Danio rerio: one gene and its partners. Each later gene encodes a partner of the first gene's protein in a complex. Links are inferred from orthologs where the notes say so. Each region holds a gene or a part of one and is shown in the gene's direction. Other genes may lie near its edges.

What was found.
Region 2: the proteins of scap (region 1) and insig2 are in contact, whole or in part, in a cryo-EM structure (PDB 7ETW), measured with the Homo sapiens proteins. The link is inferred for Danio rerio from reciprocal best matches to the Homo sapiens genes SCAP and INSIG2. Residues at the interface, in NP_036367.2 of Homo sapiens: Pro200, Ser206, Val282, Ala283, Glu284, Ile286, Pro287, Thr290, Ile294, Ala297, Tyr298, Phe301, Lys305, Tyr351, Val354, Val355, Glu359, Thr409, Leu410, Val411, Ser638, Tyr639; in NP_001308258.1 of Homo sapiens: Phe41, Val45, Leu48, Leu49, Ile51, Val55, Leu57, Phe58, Pro59, Val62, Ser65, Ile66, Glu104, Trp105, Ser106, Met109, Arg110, Val112, Ala113, Val114, Val116, Gly117, His120, Gln132.
Region 3: scap (region 1) and rnf139 share a complex: the UniProt entries of both Homo sapiens proteins name them as parts of the SCAP-SREBP complex. The link is inferred for Danio rerio from reciprocal best matches to the Homo sapiens genes SCAP and RNF139.

The regions. Positions count from the first base shown.
Region 1 is NC_133191.1:45,484,342-45,490,649, forward strand, and holds part of scap (sterol regulatory element-binding protein cleavage-activating protein), read left to right. Parts: intron 1-1,650; coding exon 1,651-1,851; intron 1,852-6,308. UniProt on the Homo sapiens protein: Escort protein required for cholesterol as well as lipid homeostasis.
Region 2 is NC_133184.1:726,433-733,422, forward strand, and holds the start of insig2 (insulin-induced gene 2 protein), read left to right. Parts: upstream 1-2,964; 5' UTR 2,965-3,031; intron 3,032-4,094; 5' UTR 4,095-4,106; coding exon 4,107-4,338; intron 4,339-6,040; coding exon 6,041-6,165; intron 6,166-6,391; coding exon 6,392-6,558; intron 6,559-6,990. UniProt on the Homo sapiens protein: Oxysterol-binding protein that mediates feedback control of cholesterol synthesis by controlling both endoplasmic reticulum to Golgi transport of SCAP and degradation of HMGCR.
Region 3 is NC_133194.1:330,897-337,869, forward strand, and holds the start of rnf139 (E3 ubiquitin-protein ligase RNF139), read left to right. Parts: upstream 1-2,748; 5' UTR 2,749-2,828; coding exon 2,829-2,991; intron 2,992-3,912; coding exon 3,913-5,744; 3' UTR 5,745-5,879; exon of another isoform or gene 5,880-6,973. Other genes in the region: deoxyribonuclease TATDN1, read left to right, coding at 23-63, 1,131-1,207, 1,283-1,353, 1,483-1,609, 1,785-1,890. UniProt on the Homo sapiens protein: E3-ubiquitin ligase; acts as a negative regulator of cell proliferation through mechanisms involving G2/M arrest and cell death.

The DNA.
Region 1 (6,308 bases):
CTTTCTCCAGGAGAAAAAAATATTATAGGAAATACTGTAAAGAAATCCCTCTGTTAAACATAATTTGGGAAATATTTATATATAAAAATAAATTCACTGGAGGATGAATATTTTTGACTTCAACTGATAATCGTTTTGAATAATCGTGATTACAATTATGACCAAAATAATCGTGATTATGATTTTTCCCATAATCGAGCAGTATATATATATTCATACCTAATATCCGATGGCCAGAAAGTGATTGATTAATTATTTATAAATTGTTAAAATATTGGTGACTGTGATGCAGCAAGTCCAGAGACTGATGTGTACACCATGATTTTATATAAAATTCACTTTAATGTGTGATGTGACTAAAAAGTGGTCATAAACAAATATTTTCTCCTTTTAAATGAGTAGCGGCTTGGACCTGGAAAGAGTATTTCAAACATCACGACTTAACAAGCGGATTTTTATTATAATCAGACAACGATTTTAACCTGGAGACACTTTAAGGGAAATATTTTTAAATGTGGATCCTTCAAAAATGGTAGAATTTAAAGTAAACCTTAAAAACATTTAATTTTCTTTTGTATTATTTATTGCTGTCGATGTCTTTATAATTTTTGTTTTATTGCAGAAAAGTGATATTTATAAAATGTACATTTTGCCATGAAATAGCCAGAGAAGCGGATATTGGCCGGCAGCTAGCTCTCTGCAACTCTCACATGGTCGCCCACTGAAGCTAGGTCAGTAGCCTGGTCAGTACCTGGAGACCACGTGGGAAAGCTAGGTTGTTGCCAGAAGTGGTGTTAGTTAGACCAGCAGTGGCGCTCAACCTGCAGTCTGTGTGGGTCCTAACGCATCACTATATCGATGGGGACTCTATACTGTCAGTGAGCACCGTCTTTCGGATGAGATGTTAAACCGAGGTTGTTAAAAATCCCAGGATGTCTTTTAAAAAAAGGAGTAGGGGTTTAACCCTGGCATCCTGGCCATATTTCCCACTGGCCACCTGACCGTCCCCATATCATAATTGGCTTCATCACTCTGTCTCCTGTCAACCAATAATCTGTTGTCTGGTGTGCTGTCTGGCGCAATATAACTGCTGTTGCATGATCCAGGTGGATGCTGCACAGTGGTGGTAGTTAAGGAGATTCCCCCAAAAATGTGTAAAGCGCTATATAAATGTGAGGTATAATAAAATAATAATATGGCAATAGAGTCAAAACTCTCTCTAACACATCGTTTTCTTTTGTATTTATTATGTATGATTCATTCAAGTTAATATATTAAAAACAAAGCAGCATTGTAAATATTATTAAGTTAAATGTTAACTTAATATGTTAACGAATGCAAAAAAAATAGTTTTTGATTCTGAAATAATTATATAATGCTAAAAAATTGAACTTTATTGAGAAGCACTAATGCTTGTCTAGTGTTAAATTAAAAACTTGACAGGTTTGTTACAGATTTCCCATAATATCCTGTGGCTGAATGAGAGTGATAAAATGTCCATAATACTTTAAATGTGTATCAAATACTCTTAAAAAAAGTGTTTGATTTAGTTTTTTTTATCAGTCAGCAGAAGAACAGGTAAATCTCTTCACACCATGAATGAAATTCTCCAGCTCTATTTACACTTGGGTTGTGTACATATTTGCACAGATCCCTGGATGCCCGGCGGTGCCCTCGCCCTGGCCGCACACGCAGACTCGATGGCCATCAGCTGACCCCCGCGCCCAGGATGACGGTGAGAGAGCGGCTTCGGCAGAACATCTCGGCCGCCTTCTACCGGCACGGCCTGCTATGCGCCTCATACCCGGTTCCCATCATTCTCTTCACCTCTGCCAGCATCCTGACCTGCTGGTGAGCCTGCACATATGCTTTTATTATTGATAAGTAGCAGTGAAGCACAATGTTTAATTTACCTGTGGTGGCAGGATGCAAGGACTATCCACACAAACATCGCTGTACTCACACACAGGCTGTAAATCTACTGTTAATCATTTACTTCACTATTTAAATAATAGTAGGATGACTCTATCATGGACAAAGTCATACCAGAGAGGGGGCAGGTGGTCCTCTGTCAGTCAGTAGTGTACACCTTTAAATAAAAATGACTAAAATTCTCTTTGATTGGCAGAATTTTAGCTACAAAATAAGCAGGAAAGCTATTCTATGTTTACAGTAAACTACTGTATTTCATTAAATTATAAAATGTTAATACTCCACCACCATGGTAATACATGACACTAATTAATGCAATAAATATTATTAATAACATTAGATTCAGTATCATACTCTAATGTACAAAACAAATAAGAAGAAAGAAATGCCAAACGATAAACTGAAGTGTCACTAAAGGAATTTTGGAAAGTAAATTTTTTGTGATTCATCATAAGGACACTGACTGTTATTCTGGTAACATATTTTTATTTAAGTAACAATTCCCACTATTAATGACTGGTGTATTACCTGCCTATGATTAGGATGTTGGCTATTATATAGTACTTATAAAATATGTTCTTATTCTACATCAATACCCTAAGGTACCTAACTAACTATTAATAAGCAGCACATTAGTATTTTATTGAGCTAAAAGTCTTTGTTAATGGTTTGTTAATAGCAAGAATTGAACCTTAAACTAAAGTGTGACACATATATTTAGCATCTGAAGCATTTTACAGTTTTTTTACCATTGAATCCATGGCTATTTTTTACAGTCTATAATGTTTTAAGGGTTAAATAACATCTACAACAGCTTCACAGGTATCACACACTGGACACAACATTTCACGTCAAGTTAGGGCTGCGTACCATTTAAAAGTTTTTGATATGATATTTTAAATTCGAAACTGTGCTGGGCTTTTGCATGAATGGACTTTCGTTTCTATGTATACATCGTATCCTCTCGCAGAAACAATTCACCTAGGCTGCCAGCATCTGTTTATTTATTTTAGTTCAGTTATTTTTTCCATAGATTTGCCATCCTACACATGCAATTCACTAACACTTATGTCATTTTATTCATTAAGGTATCGATACTTTGTACCGTCAGACAAGACATTCATAGATACTAGAATTGAGACAGTTTGGTTAGTGCTTAAAAATATCACCTTCGATACTCAGCCCTACTTCCGATCTAGCTTAAATTAGTTGATCTAAACAACAAACATGCAGAAGTTAAATTTAAGAGTTTAAGTCAACAAAGGGATGTTGATGAGTTTGCAGGTTAAAAAAATAAGATCAAAAACATCAGCTCTTATTCAAAACATACACACTTTTTCAAACCACAGGAAAATGAGCATTTGCAGGGTTGTCTGTGGGGTCTTAAATGTCTTGCATTTTAAAAACTAAAGGCCTTAAAAGGTCTTAAATTTACTGGAAAGCCGTGTTGTAAATTGTGTGGTCTTTAATCATTTTAAACGGGTCTTAATTTTCCTATGTCTTAGTAAAGTTACCTGATCGGGCTTACCAATAACCAATAATTCATCTTTAAAACATAAAACGTTAAAAAAAGTTAAATATTTACCTCTATTTACCAATAGTAAAAATTCTCTATGTGTTTTAGACACACTCTTGTGCATACGTTTTGTTTAATATAGTTTTGTAAATATTTCAACTAGATTTTGCTTGTTTTGACAAATATAAAACGTGATTAAGGTATAACTAAATTAAAATTTTGTTCGATGAGGCAAGTTCAAATCTTTTTCATTGGCCCCACCATGCCATTACAAACAATCCCTAGTGCTTAGCCCCATGTAAATCTGAAATTTACTTCATACTGGTCTTAAAAAATCTTAAGTTTGACTTGGTGAAACCTGCAGAAACCCTGTTTTCTAAAAGATGCACTAAACACAACCTTCCAGCCTTGTAGGCTTGTTAACAACTATTTAAGACAATTACAATTTAATTTAAGGTAAAGTGATGTGAGAAGCTCTCTGTGCACTGGCAGGATATTGAACTGTCTTCTGAATGTCCACATTTTAATCACATGGTGCACTGATTTTTTTTGTCTGCTGTGTGACCCTTCTGTCTCCTCCGCTATAAAATACCCAAATGCAATGATATGATGATGTCAGTGACAACCTGCAGTCATGGTGGGCAAGCTTTTGTTGTGGCATCCCACTATTGCAGAATGAATTTGAAGGAAATGCATGGAAGTGTTGTGCACAAGACCAAAAATCCACAGCTCTATCAATTTTTGAAGCACTGCGTGTTCTTTTGTGCTGCTGTGAAATCACCTATAAAATCTCGGGGTGGGATGTTTTGTGATGTTAAGACGTGTGAGGTGATGGAAAAGGAATTAATTTGTCTTGTGGTTGGTTGTTCTGCACAGTGTGTATCAAATGTAGGATCATGCCAAGAGGACTGTCTGTATCGCAAACACAAAACTGGTACTAAGAACAGGAGAAAATGTTTTTCTCATGCCTTTTCATTTGGCCTCTGTCAGCAAAATGTGAATTAAGACTCTGATGCTTCAGATAAAGGGCAATCCATGTGGAAAAGAGTGAGTGTGTGAACGCTTCTCTCGGTGTGTAGCCCAGTGTCTGGAGGAAAAGAAGTAGGCTTTTGTGATGGTGGAAACTACTTGTCAGTCCTTTTGGAGCTGGAAAACAGAAAGTGCAGATATGTGGAAAAGCTTGACTTGACACAAAAGGGTTAGTTCACCCAAAATTTTTAATTCTTTATTAATTACTCACCCTCATGTCATACAAATTGAGATATTCATTCATTTTCTCTTTAGCTTAGTCCCTTTATTAATCAGGGGTCGCCACAGTGGAATGAACCCCCAACTTATCCAGCATATGTTTTATGCAGCGGATGCCCTTCCAGCTGCAACCCATGACTGGGAAACATCCATACACACTCATTCACACACATACAATACAGACAATTCAGCTTATCCAATTCACCAATAGCTCTATCTTTGGACTAAGGAGCACCCAGAGAAAACTCACACAAACACGTGGAGAACATGCAAACTCCACACATAAATGCCAAGTGACTCAGCTGCGGCTCAAACCAGCGACCTTTTAGCTGTGAGGCAACAGCGCTACCCACTGTGCCATCTTGGCGCAAATTGAGATATTTTAGGTGAAATTGGAGAGCTGTCTTATCCTCCATGTTTCATGGTTTTTCTACGCACAAGTCCAGAAAGTAACCAAAAACAGCCTCAAAAACAGACCACATTGTCTTATGTGATTCAATCAGTATATTATCAAGCTACGAGACTATTTTGTGTGGTCATAAAGCAAAAATAATGATTTAAGAATATCAATGCATAAATCATTCATGCTCACCAGAATAGGAAAGTCCATTCAAATTACACGTAGAGTCCACCAACGTTCATTTCTTTTTAACATGCTTGCATTTGTTGCTTGCAATAGCTCTACTGTGCAGTCATCTAATGATGATAAAATTATGTTTCTAAAACAGGGGTGCCCAAACTCGGTCTTGGAAGGCTGGTGTGCTGCATATTTTAGTTACAACCCTAATTAAACACATCAAACTCAGCTAATCAAGCTCTTTCTAGCTATACTAGAAACTTCCAGGCAGGTATGGTAAAGCAAATTGGAGCTAAACTATGCAGTAAATCGGCCCTTCAGGACCAAGTTTGGGCACCCCTGCTCTAAAAGAATAATATAAAAAATAGTCACAGTTAATAACATAATACTGTCTATAAAATGTGGTTGTTTTATTGGTTTGTTTTTTTAATCAGTATAATCAAAGACTATAGAATACACAAGACATGTCACTCGTATAGTTTTAAATGGAGAAAATTGTAGCGGCAAATGAAGCCCCGCCTTCTAGTACAGTAGCCAATCATTTTTCGACTCTCTGGAGGAGGGGCTCGGACCAGAGTTTTTTGCAGATGTTGTGTGATTTGAACATTTGGACATTAAACTAAAGAGACAGTTGCTGTTTAATTTAATTGATGATTCCTTCGATGTAATGTAATCGTAAGCTTGGCAAGCAGTTTTGGAGAATTTGATGTTTTCCCATTCAAACAGAATGCCCGAGAAACCTTTTAAAGTTGGTCGCCGAGTGAAATGGCTTGCCTTAAAGGGACTTTTATTATAGTTATTCAGTTACTTTTAAAAAGTCTTAGAAATATTACGAATAAATAAAATAATAAACAAAGTATTTTCAGTTTTTAGCCAAGTGCATCCATCATTTTAATTTCGGTGCATCCTTAAATTCAAAACCATTGAAAGAATGCACAGATGAATTTTTACCTGCTGATGAATGATAAAGAAATATGCCCATCAAAATCCACACGACTTTTAACAGCTTTAAGTAGCAGACAACATAACAATAGC
Region 2 (6,990 bases), on another chromosome or scaffold:
AAACCAGCCTAGGCTGCTTTAAGTTGGATTTTTAGCAGGGTTCCAGAAAACCGAAAGTGTCATGCTAAAATAATCTGAGTTTAACAGCAACATTTACGTTACTATACTTTTACGTTAATGACAAAAACAAACAAACCGTGTAAAAGTAACGTGCGCGTGTAACGTTAAAGAATGAGTGTTTGTTAAACTCGGAACAAAACAAGCGTCATGCTAAAATAATCTACGCTAAACAACATTTATTATAAATTCAATTATATTATATAATGACACAAACAAACAACAATCCCTCACCGCTAACGGTCGTTGGAAATTCGTTGATCTTAACCTCTGATGTTTGGAAGTAAGCCAACTGACCTGCACAGCAGCGCTCGTTTATCACGCCATGAAGTGTTTGGAGAAGTTAACTAGCGAGTCAAGACTAGAAGTAAACAAACAGCATGTCAGGAGGACTATCCTCGCGCTTACTGAGGTAAAGCTGGCTTTATAGTCGCACATTCGGTCAGTGACAGCTCATGACACGGTCCATATAAGGTTTACCACAATATTCAATCTGCATGACTTCAAGACAGCATTAGCACTATTTAATTAACTGTGAGAAATGTTGTACTTTCTGACTTTTCTTACTAATACGATTTCACAATGTAAAATGTGCAAAATCAGTATATTACGGAGGAAGTCTGAATGTGCGAATATAAGATTAACTTTACCTCAATCGCGCGCTTTACCTGGACAGACCCTGCAGCTTCTCCCTCAAGGCGCGCACACAGTACACACACGCACGCAAACACACACTCGCTCCCTCACTCGAACATACACACCTTCCCGCGTCTGAGCACCGAGTTTGACTTTTTATTCTGCGGTTTTCTGATGAATTCGCGCTCCAGCATCCTCCGCACGCAGCTAATCAGCTAGCATTAGCATCCCGGGCCGTGAGAATAGCTCATTCTGGAGAAAAGCGGCTCCCGGTGGGCTCTGCGGGGCGCGGCGCGCTTACCTGGGGGTGGGAGAGTCCTCGGAGGGGCCGCTGGAGGATCAGCGTATGCTCCGGGCGAGGTTTGATGTCTGCGGGTGAGTTTTGCCGGCTGTGATGATGGAGATTCTGCGCTCGAGTCCCACGAGCTTCCGATGATGGCGGGAATGTGAAAATTTAGAGCGGAAATGGGAGGTGAGATGATGTGCTGTGACACAAGTAACGCGAGACTACACGACTGTGTTTTCTTTGGCTGTTGCTAGAAGAGATACAGCTGCGGCAGGAAGTTAACGATAATTATTTATATTTTTTATGTAGCAGTCTCTCATCAATATAGCAATAAAGAGATAGATCAATCGTATGGACGACGAAACCTGCAAAAACAATACAAAAATAAATAAATATAGAAATATATAAATAAATGAGTAAATAAATCCATAAATTCCTGCATAAATGAAATAATAAATGTGCAAATAAATTAATAAATGGATATAAAAATCCACAAACTCCTGCATAAATCAATATATAACTAATTAATAATGTGGGCAGGTAAATAATTAAATAAATTACACGAATATTGGGGAAACAAGAAAATGCTAAACTGAAAATTTATTGTCTGCCCTTTCAAACTTTTGTTTTGAAAAAATAAAACTCTCAGTTTAGCATTTTCTTATTCCCCTTGTAATTTATTTAATTTTTTACCTTCCTGGACTATTAATTATTTATGTATTTATTTATGCAGGAAATTGTGGATTTGTTTATATCAGGTTATTTATTTGCGTATTTATTTATTGTTTTATTTACGCAGGAATTTGTAGATTTATATTCATTTATTTATTTATTTGTTTATTTATTTGCATATGTACTTATTTATTGTTTGATTTATGCGGGAATTTGTGTTTTTATTTTATTGTTTATTTGTGTATTTATTTATTTATTGTTTTATGTATGCAATAATTTGTGTATTTATTTATTTATTTGTTTATTTATTTATTTGCATATTTAGTTATTTTTTATTTTTTGCCGGAATTTGTAAATTTAATGTACATTTATTTGTTTATTTGCATATTTATTGTTTTATTTAGGCAGGAATTTGTGTATTTATTTATTTGTTTATTTATTTATTTGCGTATTTATTTATTGTTTTATTTGTGCAGTAATTTGTAGATTTATATTCATTTATTTGTTTATTTTCATATTATTTTATTTATTGTTTTATTTATTTATTATGTTATTTATGCAGTAATTTATTGATATATTTACTCATTTCTTTATATATTTGCATATTTATTTATTCATTGTTTTTGCAGGTTTTGTCCTATTTTGTCCAGGTTTTATACTATTTCTGAAACAAATAGGCCCCCTATTGATATTAGACAATTGTAAGTCGAATGCCATTTTGTATTCAAAACCTATATATATATATATATATATATATATATATATATATATATATATATATATAGGTTTTGAATGGGCCTATTTGTTTCAGAAATAGTATACAACTAGAAGAAATCAACAATATAAACAAATACAGAAAGAGGATTTGTATTTCTATAATAATACCATCAATCTTAAGTATAAATCACAGACTGTAAAAACAGTTTCAGGGAAGTGAAACACTATTAAATTGTCATTTTCACATAATTTTTAACAAATTCCAGCTTTTTCTGGCATTATTGAATATATATTCAGTGATTCCTACAAGCTTTAAACACTTATAATTGTGAATAAAAGTATTTGCTTGCAGAAGTACATTATTGATCAGAAAAACCTTCTTTAATACTAATAAAGGACCGCTTAAATCAGTCACATTTTGTTAATTTAACCATAATAGTAAGTGCAAGTAAAAAAAATGTGTTCAGTATTTTGAGGAATAAAAATTTAGCGCTTCATTTTAGCGCTTAATCATTGCGTCACCACCGCGTGCTCTGATTGGCTGCGCTAGTATCAGCAGGGCGGAAGTGCAGTATTATCCACGCAAGAAGATCTCCGTCCGTTCGCTGAGGACTTTAATATTTCATTTCAGAGAAGCCGGAGCTGCTTTCAAACGACGCAGAGGTGAGAGATGTGTGTATTCTTAACGAACCACCTGTTTCATTTAGCGTTTATAAGGCATTTTATCTCAGCTTCATGAATGTTTTACCTCTCAGGGGGTCGGAAGCTACTGTTGTCGCGCTACACCGCTGTGTATGTTATATAGGGATAATAATTAGCTTCGACCGCTAGTGTTGTGTCAGTGTGCTGTGTGTTACTGTCTGCCTGTGTTTATTTTACTGTTATTTACGCTGATCGGCCTGATGCTGATGTGGCCTTTGAGCTGCTCGACCAGATAGACTTATTTATTTAACTAACAACTGACCTGCAGTAACCTGTCAGGCGTGTGTGTGTGTGTGTGTGTGTGTGTGTGTGTGTGTGTGTGTGTGTGTGTGTGTGTGTGCTTTATCTAAAGTGATCTGCTGCTGTTATGTTATATGTTTTTAATTAAAGGGGACCTATAATGTCATTTTTTACAAGCTGTAAATGTGTCTAGAGTGTGTGTGTTTGAGCTGAGAATAACACACAGGTAATGTTCTCCAGCTCTCTGAAACTGACCCTTTCAGGCCTTAATCCTAATTGGGGCGTTTTGGTGACTGTCGCTTTAAATGCAAATGAGATTGTGCTCTTTTCAGAAGAGGGCGGAGCTACCAACACCTGCGTGTCAGCATAGTGACGGATGTAAAACAGCAGTGTGTGTGTTGTGAGTGCTGGTCAGGTGTGAGTGTGTGTTGATGCTTCTGTCAGTCTATGTCGCTGCTGTCGCTGTTCATCTAAAGCTCCACATCTATAATCCTCTTAGTCTATGCTGACGTTATCTTCAGCAGCTCAAACACTCTAATGGCTAATGGACAGACGGCTGCTTCTCACTCAGGGCTGCTGTTTATGCTAATGAGATGGAGAGATGGACACTAGTAGGCGTACTGAATAAAGTGGTATGGTACGGTTCGCTTTTAGGTACCTTTTGACAGCAGAATCGATCATAAAAGCGCACCGAACCGCACCACTCGGTGGAAACGGGCCTCTTGCGAGCCCTGATGTGAACTGTGGAGAAGTGTGGTGAGCTGGTCCTCCTTCTGTCCTGTAGGCATGTGAGGAGATGTCGGAGGTTTCGTCAGTGTCGCGCCGCGGGCCGTACGTCAGCATGATCACCAGCCGCAGTGTGAACCTGCTGATCCGCGCCGCCATGCTCTTCACGGTGGGAGTGTTTCTGGCGCTGGTGCTGAACCTGCTGCAGGTGCAGAGGAACGTCACGCTCTTCCCTCCAGACGTCATCAGCAGCATCTTCTCCTCCGCCTGGTGGGTTCCTCCCTGCTGCGGGACGGCTGCAGGTACTGCTGCTTACACTGCTCACCGGAGAGTAGACTGTGTGCTTTTTTTGTGTGTGTGCGTGTTTGTTTGTGTCTTTGTGTGTGTTTTTTTTTTTTGTGTGTGTTTGAGCATGTAATTGTTATGTATGTATTTATGTGTGTGTGTTTGTTTGTTTGTTTGTTTGTGTGTTTTTGTTTATGTGTGTGTGTGCTTTTTTTGTTTGTGTGTATTTATTTGTCTGTGAGTGTGTTTGGGTGTGTGTTTTTGTTTGTTTGTTTGTATGTTTGTTTATGTTTTTGTTTTTTGTGAGTGTTTGTTTTTTGTTTGTGTGTTTTTTTGTTTGTGTGTGTGTGTGTGTGTTGTTCGTTTGTTTGTTTGTTTGTTTGAGCGTGTAATTGTGTGTGATTGTGAGTGTGATTGAGTGTGTGTGTTTGTTTGTGTGAGTTTTTTTGTGTGCCTGTGTGTTTGTACGTGTAATTGTGTCTGTGTGTGTTTTTGTTTGTGAGTGTGTGTGTGTTTGTGTGTTTGTTTGAGTGTGTAATTGTGTGTGTTTGTGTGTATGTGGTTTTGTTTGTGTTTGAGTGTGTGTGTTTTTGTTTGTGTATGTGCTTTTTTGTTTGTGTGTGTTTGTTTGTGTGAGTGTTTTTTGTGTGCGTGTGTGTTTGTTTGAGAGTGTAATTGTGTGTGTTTGTGTGTAAGTGTTTGAGTGTGTGCTTTTGTTTGTGTGTATGTGCTTTTTTGTTTGAGTGTGTGTGTGTGTGTGTGTGTGTGTTTGTGTGTGAGTGTGTTTGAGTGTATATGTTTTTGTTTGTTTGTGTGTGTTTTTGTTTATGTGTATTTGTATATTAGTGTGTTTCGGTGTGTGTGTAATTGTGTCTGTCTGTGTGTGTGTGTGTGTGTTTGTGTGTGTGTGTGTGTAATTGTGTCTTTGTGTGTGTTTGTTTGTGTGATTGTTTTTTTGTGTGTGTTTGTGTGTGTAATTGTGTCTGTGTGTGTTTTTGTTTGTGTGTGTGTGTGTTTGTTTGAGCGTGTAATTGTGTGTGTTTGTGTGTAAGTGTGTTTGAGTGTATATGTTTTTGTTTGTTTGTGTGTGTTTTTGTTTATGTGTATTTGTATATTAGTGTGTTTCGGTGTGTGTGTAATTGTGTGTGTGTGTGTGTGTGTGTGTGTGTAATTGTGTCTATATGTGTTTTTGTTTGTGTGTGTGTGTGTGTGTGTGTGTGTGTGTTTGTGTCTGTAATTGTGTCTATATGTGTTTTTGTTTGTGTGTGTTTGTTTGTGTGATTGTTTTTTTGTGTGTGTTTGTGTGTGTAATTGTGTCTGTGTGTGTTTTTGTTTGTGTGTGTGTGTGTTTGTTTGAGCGTGTGTTTGTGTGTAAGTGTGTTTGAGTGTGTGCTTTTGTTTGTGTGTATGTGCTTTTTTGTTTGAGTGTGTGTGTGTGTTTATGTATGTGGTTTTGTTTGTGTGTGAGTGTGTTTGAGTGTGTATGTTTTTGTTTGTTTGTGTGTGTTTTTGTTTATGTGTATTTGTATATTAGTGTGTTTCGGTGTGTGTGTAATTGTGTGTGTGTGTGTGTGTGTGTGTGTAATTGTGTCTATATGTGTTTTTGTTTGTGTGTGTGTGTTTGTGTGTGTAATTGTGTCTGTATGTGTTTTTGTTTGGGTGTGTGTGTGTGTGTGTGTTTGTGTCACTGAGCTCCTCCTCTTTTCTTCTCTTCTCCAGCGCTGATTGGTCTGCTGTACCCCTGTATGGACCGGCGTCTCGGGGAGCCTCATAAGCTGAAGAGGGAGTGGTCCAATGTGATGCGCTGCGTTGCCGTATTCGTGGGCATCAACCACGCCAGTGCTGTATCCTGATCCACTGCTGAAGCGCAGAGTTTACTCACTAAAGCTGATCCCAGCATAAATGAAGAGTTGACTCTTCTGAGTATTGATAGTGGACCACCCCTTTAAGCATTTTATTATGCAATATTGCAAACTGATTATGCGTGATTAGTGTGCTGATGGGTGAAGTGCTGATGGATTGTTAGCTTGCTGATGGGTGAAGTGTTGTCTTTAACTCCGCCATCAACAGAAGGTGGACTTTGCCAATAATGTGCAGCTGTCCCTGACGCTAGCGGCTCTGTCTGTGGGCCTGTGGTGGACGTTTGACCGCTCGCGCAGTGGTTTTGGACTGGGAGTGATCATCGCCATCCTCGCCACGCTCGCCACACAGCTGCTGGTCTACAACGGAGTCTTTCAGTGAGTCTCTGTCACACTTCAGCTAATGAGAGCTACTGATGAGGGTCACATGAAATAAAATAACGTGTTTTAGATGTTAGCATCAGTAGTTTTAAGGAAATCTATGAGCTAGTGTCTCAAACTCACATGTAGAAGATATAAACCTGATATAAACATGTAAAATTTGCAGTTTGTCACTCCCACCTAAAGGAATCAACGAATTTTTTGTCGTGTGCTCATACCTCAGTTTCTCATCAAATCCTCAGACCATGATTAAAATCTTTCTGACATGCCCCGCCCCCTTCTTCTAATTGGCTGTTCATTTGTTGCGTTTGAGCTCAGCCACTCTCACTGGCGGAGCTCTTATAAAAGCAACACGCTATTGGCTGCTTTTTTTGAAAGGGGAGGAGCTACACTATGCACATTTCAAAGCACTTCATGGGACTTTTAACC
Region 3 (6,973 bases), on another chromosome or scaffold:
TGTGTGTGTGTGTGTGTCACAGACATCATGAGGAGGAACAGACAGCGGTGTGTTGGTGGAGTGGTGAGTGATGTGTTCCTCATTCTCAGTGCTTCATTATTCCTCTGTGTTTTCGCTGTTCCTCTGTTGTTTCCTCAATGTTCTTATTGTTTTTTAGTGAATCCTAATTTCTTTCATCCTAAAGGTTTTCTTGTGTTTCCTGGGTGTTTCCTTGTTATTTCCCCATACTGTTTTCCAGATTTTGCTCATTATTTTTTTCATTTTCTCCATGCTCCATCATTTGTTTCAGTGTTTCCTCAAGTTTTCCTGATTGTTTCCTCCTTATTTCCTCAATGTTTCCTCAATATTTCCTCATTATTTCTTCATTGTTTCCTCAGTGTTTCCTGATTGTTTCCTCCTTGTTTCCTCAGTGTTTCCTCAATGTTTTCTCAACGTTTCTTAAGTGTTTTCTTAATGTTTTCTTAATGTTTCCTCAATGACTTTCCAATGTTTCTTCATTGTTTCCTCATTGTTTCCTGATTATTTCATCCTTATCTTTTTATTGTTTCCTCAATATTTCCTCGTTGTTTCCTCCTTATTTCTTCATTGATTCCTCAGTGATTCCTCAGTGTTTTCTCAGTGTTTCCTCAATATTTCCTCTTTCGTTCCTCGTCGTTTCCTCTTTATTTCTTCAGTGTTTCCTCAATGTTTCCTCCAGTGTTTCTTGATTGTTTCCTCAGTATTTCCTCAGTGTTTTCTTGTTGTTTCCCCTGTATTTTTATTTTTTCCTTGTTGTTTCTTCACTGTTTTCTCAGTGTTTCCTTGCAGTTTCCTCAGTATGATCTCTTGTTTTTCTCTGTTTCCTTGCTGCTTCCTTACTATTTCCTCAGTATTCTCCTTAGTGTTTACTTATTGCTTCCTCATTGTTTCCTCTGTGATTTCCCAGTGTTTCCTTGTTGTTTCCTCAGTTGTCTTCAAGTTTTCCTGTTGTTTTCTAATTGTTTCCTCAGTGTTTGCCTATTGTTTGTTCAGTTTTTCCTCAGTGTTTCCACAGTATTTCCTCTAGTTTTCCTCAGTGTTTCCTTGGTATTTCCTCAGTGTTTGCTCAATGTTTTCTCAGTGATTTCCCAGTGTTTCCTCTTGTGTTTCAGGTGCACTCGTTCGACGGCTCTCAGCAGGACGCGGCGGCTCTTCTTGATCTGGATCTCTACATTGGTATTAACGGCTGGTGAGTGCAGCGTCTCTGAAGGATCTTCATCTCCGGGTTTGTTCATCACTGGCGGGTTTTCCTCCTGTGTTTCAGCTCCTTAAAGACAGCAGAGAATCTGGAGGTGATGAAGTCCATCCCGTCTGACAGACTGATGATCGAAACAGGTGCAGAGGCTCTCATTATTCGTTTATCTGCATCATTCCATGTGATATTCCAATATGTGCATAACATAAGTGTCTGGAGGCAGAGTGAGTGAGTGAGTGTGTGTGTGTGTGTGTTGATTTCCTCTGCAGACGCTCCGTGGTGCGGCATTAAAAACACTCACGCTGGAGCCAAACTGATCAAGACCAGCTTCCCCACCAAGAAGAAGTGGGAGACGGGACACTGTGTGAAGGACAGGAACGAGCCCTGCCACATCATGTGTGTGAGAGACAGAGAGTGTGTGTGTGTGTGTGTGTCCTGCTGAAGACTGTGTGTTTGTATGAGCAAGAATCCTGCTGAAGTGTTTGTGTTCATGCATGTTTAGCTGCACACTCAAATGCTTGTGTGTGTGCGTGTGCGTGTGCGTGTGTGTGTGTGTGTGTGTGTGTTTCAGACAGGTGCTGGAGGTGATGGCCGCTGTCAGGGAGGAGGATCCACTGGATCTCGCTGAAACCATCTTCAACAACACCGACACACTGTTCTTCAAGAACCGCTCATGAGGAAACACTGGCTGTGTATCACACACACACACACACACACCAATAGACATATCTTCAGTAGGACTCTCCCATAACCCCACACACACACACACTCAATAAAAGAAAATATGACAACACACACATGTTCTGTCGTGGCTTATTATCATCATACACCCAAACTATGATGTGTTTATTAACAGAAAAGAAGATGAAGTATAAATAAAACTGAAATATTACATTCATTTGAAGTATTAATATTACTAATTGTAATTAATAAATGCATAACTAAAATTGAAGATAAAGGCACATATATTCTTCAAATAAAATAATGTAAATCGTATTAATATGAAAATAAAAACACATGCAATTTAAAGATGAAATATTCTATTAATGACACTGCACTACAGGCTATGTAGGCCCACTGCTTTATTATTAAACCAGTTAGTTAATATTCATGAGTTGCTCATTAACATAACTGGAACGGTCACGTTTAAAATAAAACATTACAGAAGAACAGATGATTCTACACTACAGAAGTTTGTATTAGGGTTATTAAGAGCATGAGGATTCATACGCAGCTATACTTTATATTAAAGCATTGTATTTTAAACTGAATTATATTAATTAAACACGTATGGAATAAAAGAAGTTTCTTGAATTGAAATATTTTAAAATAGTTTTTTGTCATTGTACAAACAATAATTACAAACACAAAGCACAATTTATCTGAACTACAAACTGAGACATTTTAACTCTTAAAGAAGCTTTGAATAATACTAAAGCCGGGCGCCGGTGCTGTAGTGTAGTATTCTGTAGTCTGCGCATGCGCTCTGCCACTTCCGCGTTCCTCACATAGCAACAGCAGCAGAGCCAAAATGGCGACCGGTGGAGATCCTGCCTGACATCGAACCGAGTCCTGACACCGAGAGCCGCGGTTCCCGGACACCGGCATCAGCGCCATGGCCTCCGCTCACGGGCGGCTGGGTCAGCACTTCCTTGCCGTGCTGGATGTGGTTCTGCGGGTCCCGAGCATCTTTATAATCGACGCCATATTGAACTCGTACTCTGATCCCGGTACCGGATGGAGCGGCGCCGCCGGGAGAGCCCTGATCCGCGCGCTGGGTGAGTGCGGGATTCCATACCGGTGTTAAATCTGCTCTTTTAGGCTTTCTGCTTATCAGCTTATAGCGCTGAAAACACCGGGCCTCAAAACACCACCGACTGACGGACTGACTGACAGCTCGAGCCGCGCGCGTGTTGAGGAAACGGAAACCTGACAGATTCATGCACTGCTGTAGAGCTGACCCTCCACTACACACACACACTCACAATTATATATACTATACACAACATATCAACAATGACACTGCTCATTCAGACAACACATACACAACATCCAAACTACATATCACAACTCAACACACACAGATGACCAGACATACACAGCATATAGACAACATAACAACACTGACACTGCTCAACACACTAACATACACAGATGACGAGAGGTGTACTAAAACATTCAGACAACATATAGACAACATATCAACACTATCAGAGCTCAACACACTAATACACAAAGACGAGAGATGATCTGAAATGTTCAGACAACTAGAGATGTACCGATTCCCCCGACTCACGATTCATAATACAATTTATTTACAAGATAATCTAAAGTAAATTTAAGGTGACGCGTCCTTCATTCTGTTCTTAAACGCAGACATTTTTTGCAAAACGATATATTTTCTGGCATAACTAAATTGCTATTAAAAACAGAATAATATAAACTACTGAAGACTAATAAACTACTAACCCTAATGCAAATACACCAGCTCACACAGTAGCTGATTGCTGACTAATTTCATTGGCTGACGCTGCTATGACGATCGCGTCAGACACTTCAGACACGCCCTCTGTCAAGGGTTGATGCTGAAGCCCATGTGAATCGAGCATATATGGTGCAGATTATGGATGCTGAATGATGTATTGTGCAGCTCTACTGTATCCGTGCTGATTCTCAGTGTTCTGCTGTCTGTCCTGCAGGTATTGTGGTGTCCGGTGTGGTTCTGGTGCTTTCCCAGAAGTCCCTGTTCAAGTTCTACACGCTCTTCATGGCTGTTCTGCTGGGCGCGGCGTCAGTGCTGGTCAACTACTACGCCACGGCACACGCCGACTTCTACAGCGCATACAACAGTGCTGCAGTGCTGCCGCGGGACGGGCCGACGCTCTGGCTAGCGTTAGCGCTGATGCAGCTGCTGCTGGGGTTGGGCTATGTGGCGCTGCTGCGCGTGCGGTCGGTGTGCGCTGCTCTCCTGCTGCTGGACATCATGGCGCCGCTGTGGGGGCTGATACTGGAGCTGCCGGCCGACATGAAGCAGGTGCTAGCGATAGCATCAGGAGTGATCTTAGCAACACACGCCGCGCTAAACCTGCTGCTGAAGCTGAAGTGGTTCTACTACTCCTGCCGCTACGTCTACCTGCTGCTGCGCCACATGTACCGCATCTACGGCCTGCAGCTGCTGCTGGAGGACACCTGGAAGCGCATCCGCTTCCCTGACATCCTGCGCGTGTTCTGGCTAACCCGCGTGACCGCGCAGGCCGTCATCCTGCTGTACGTGGTGCGCGTGGTGCGCTCTGAAAGCGGCATGCAGCTCGGATGGGACGTGTTGTGGGATTTGTCCAGTAATCTGATCATTAGCGGCTGCGACTCGACGCTAACTGTCCTCGGGATGAGCGCAGTCATATCATCTCTAGCGCATTACTTGGGTCTTAGCATCCTAGCGTTCATCGGCTCCACAGAGGAGGAGGATAAGCGGCTGGGGTTTGTTGCGCCCGTGCTGTTCTTCATCCTGGCGCTGCAGACGGGTCTAAGCGGCCTGGACCCCGAGGAGCGGCTGGTGCGGCTCAGCAGGAACATGTGCCTTCTGCTAACGGCGATTCTGCATTTCATCCACGGGATGACGGATCCGGTGCTCATGTCTCTCAGCGCGTCGCACGTGTCGTCAGTGCGCAGACATGTGCCGGTTCTGCTCGTGTCGCTAGTTCTGTTTACGCTGCCGGTCCTGCTCAGTTTCCTGCTGTGGCATCATTACGCGCTCAACACGTGGCTGTTCGCCGTCACGGCGTTCTGCATCGAGCTGTGTCTGAAGGTTCTGGTGTCGCTCACGGTATACGCGCTGTTCATGATGGACGGGTTCTACAATGTGCTGTGGGAGAAGCTGGACGATTACGTCTACTACGTGCGCTCTACTGGCAACGTGATTGAGTTCATATTCGGCGTGATCATGTTCGGAAACGGGGCGTACACGATGATGTTTGAGTCGGGGAGTAAGATCCGCGCGTGCATGATGTGCCTTCATGCGTATTTTAACATTTACCTGCAAGCCAAAAACGGCTGGAAAACGTTCATTAACCGGCGCACGGCTGTCAAGAAGATCAACTCTCTGCCGGAGGTGCGAGGCTCGCGGCTGCGGGACATCGAGGACGTCTGCGCCATCTGCTATCAGGAGTTCGGCTCGTCGGCGCGCATCACGCCCTGCAGCCATTACTTCCACGCGCTCTGCCTGCGCAAGTGGCTGTACATCCAGGACACGTGCCCCATGTGCCACCAGCGCGTCTACATCGAGGACGACACCAGCGAGCGCTCCACCTTCTCTAATAATAACGGATACGGGGCAGCAGGACAGGAGAGGGCGGAGTTTGAGGAGAATGAGGGTGGAGCTGAGGACGGCGTGGCTGCGGCAGGGGCGGAGCCTGAGAACGAGCTGCTGGAGGATAATGACAGTATTGAGTATGACGAGGAGGAGTGGGGAACGCAGCCCGGCGTCACGCTCATCGAGGAGGACTACATTAATGACGACACAGACTCCAACTGAACCAGCGGGGATATTTAAGATCAGGGACGTTGTGTATTTTTTAGATCTGTGGCCAGAAATTGTTCGAGAAATCCATTCTGCATTGATCCTGAGATTTTTGAATTGCGTCGCTTTTTTCGCTTGAATTAATTCTGAGCCTAGTTTACAACAGTAGATGGCGCTCTAGGCTAGTTTACAGCAGCAGATGGCACTCTAGGCTATTTTATAAAAGCAGATGGTGCTCTAGGCTGTTTTAAAACAGCAGATGGTGCTCTAGGCTGTTTTAAAACAGCAGATGGCGCTCTAGGCTGTTTTAAAACAGCAGATGGCGCTTTAGGCTAGTTTACAACAGTAGATGGTGCACTAGGCTATTTTATAAAAGCAGATGGTGCTCTAGGCTGTTTTAAAACAGCAGATGGCGCTGTAGGCTGTTTTAAAACAGCAGATGGCGCTCTAGGCTGTTTTAAAACAGCAGATGGCGCTCTAGGCTAGTTTACAACTGCAGATGGTGCTCTAGGCTAGTTTACAACAGCAGATGGTGCTCTAGGCTAGTTTACAACAGCAGATGGTGCTCTAGGCTAGTTTTAATAGAGCAGATGGAGCTCTAGGCTGTTTTAAAACAGCAGATGGCGCTCTAAGCTAGTTTACAACTGCAGATGCCGCTCTAGGCTAGTTTACAACAGCAGATGGTGCTCTAGGCTAGTTTTAATAGAGCAGATGGAGCTCTAGGCTAGTTTTGAACATCAGCAGGGTGCTGTCTGCAGTAAAAAACGAGCCTAGAGCATGTGTTACTTTTAAAAAAAACTAGCCTAGAGCGCGATCTGCTTTATTAATACTAGCTTTGAGTGCCATCTGCTGTTAAACACTAGCCTACAACAGCATTAGCTGGTGTAATATAGCCTAAAACACCATAGAGCAGATGTTGCTCTAGGCTAGTTTCTAACAGCAGATGGTGCTCTAGGCTAGTTTCTAACAGCAGATGGCTCTCTAGGCTGTTTTTATTAGTGCACATGGCGCTCTAGGCTAGTTTTGAACATCAAATAAGACGGTACCTGCAGTTAAAAACTAGCCTAGAGCATGTTTTACTTTTTTAAAACACTTGCCTAGGGCGCTATCTGCTGTTAAAAACTAGCATAGAGTTCCATCTGCTGTTAAACACTAACCTACAACGCCATCTACTGGTGTAATATAGCCTAAAACACCATAGAGCAGGTGGCGCTCTAGGCTAGTTTCTAACAGCAGATGGCGCT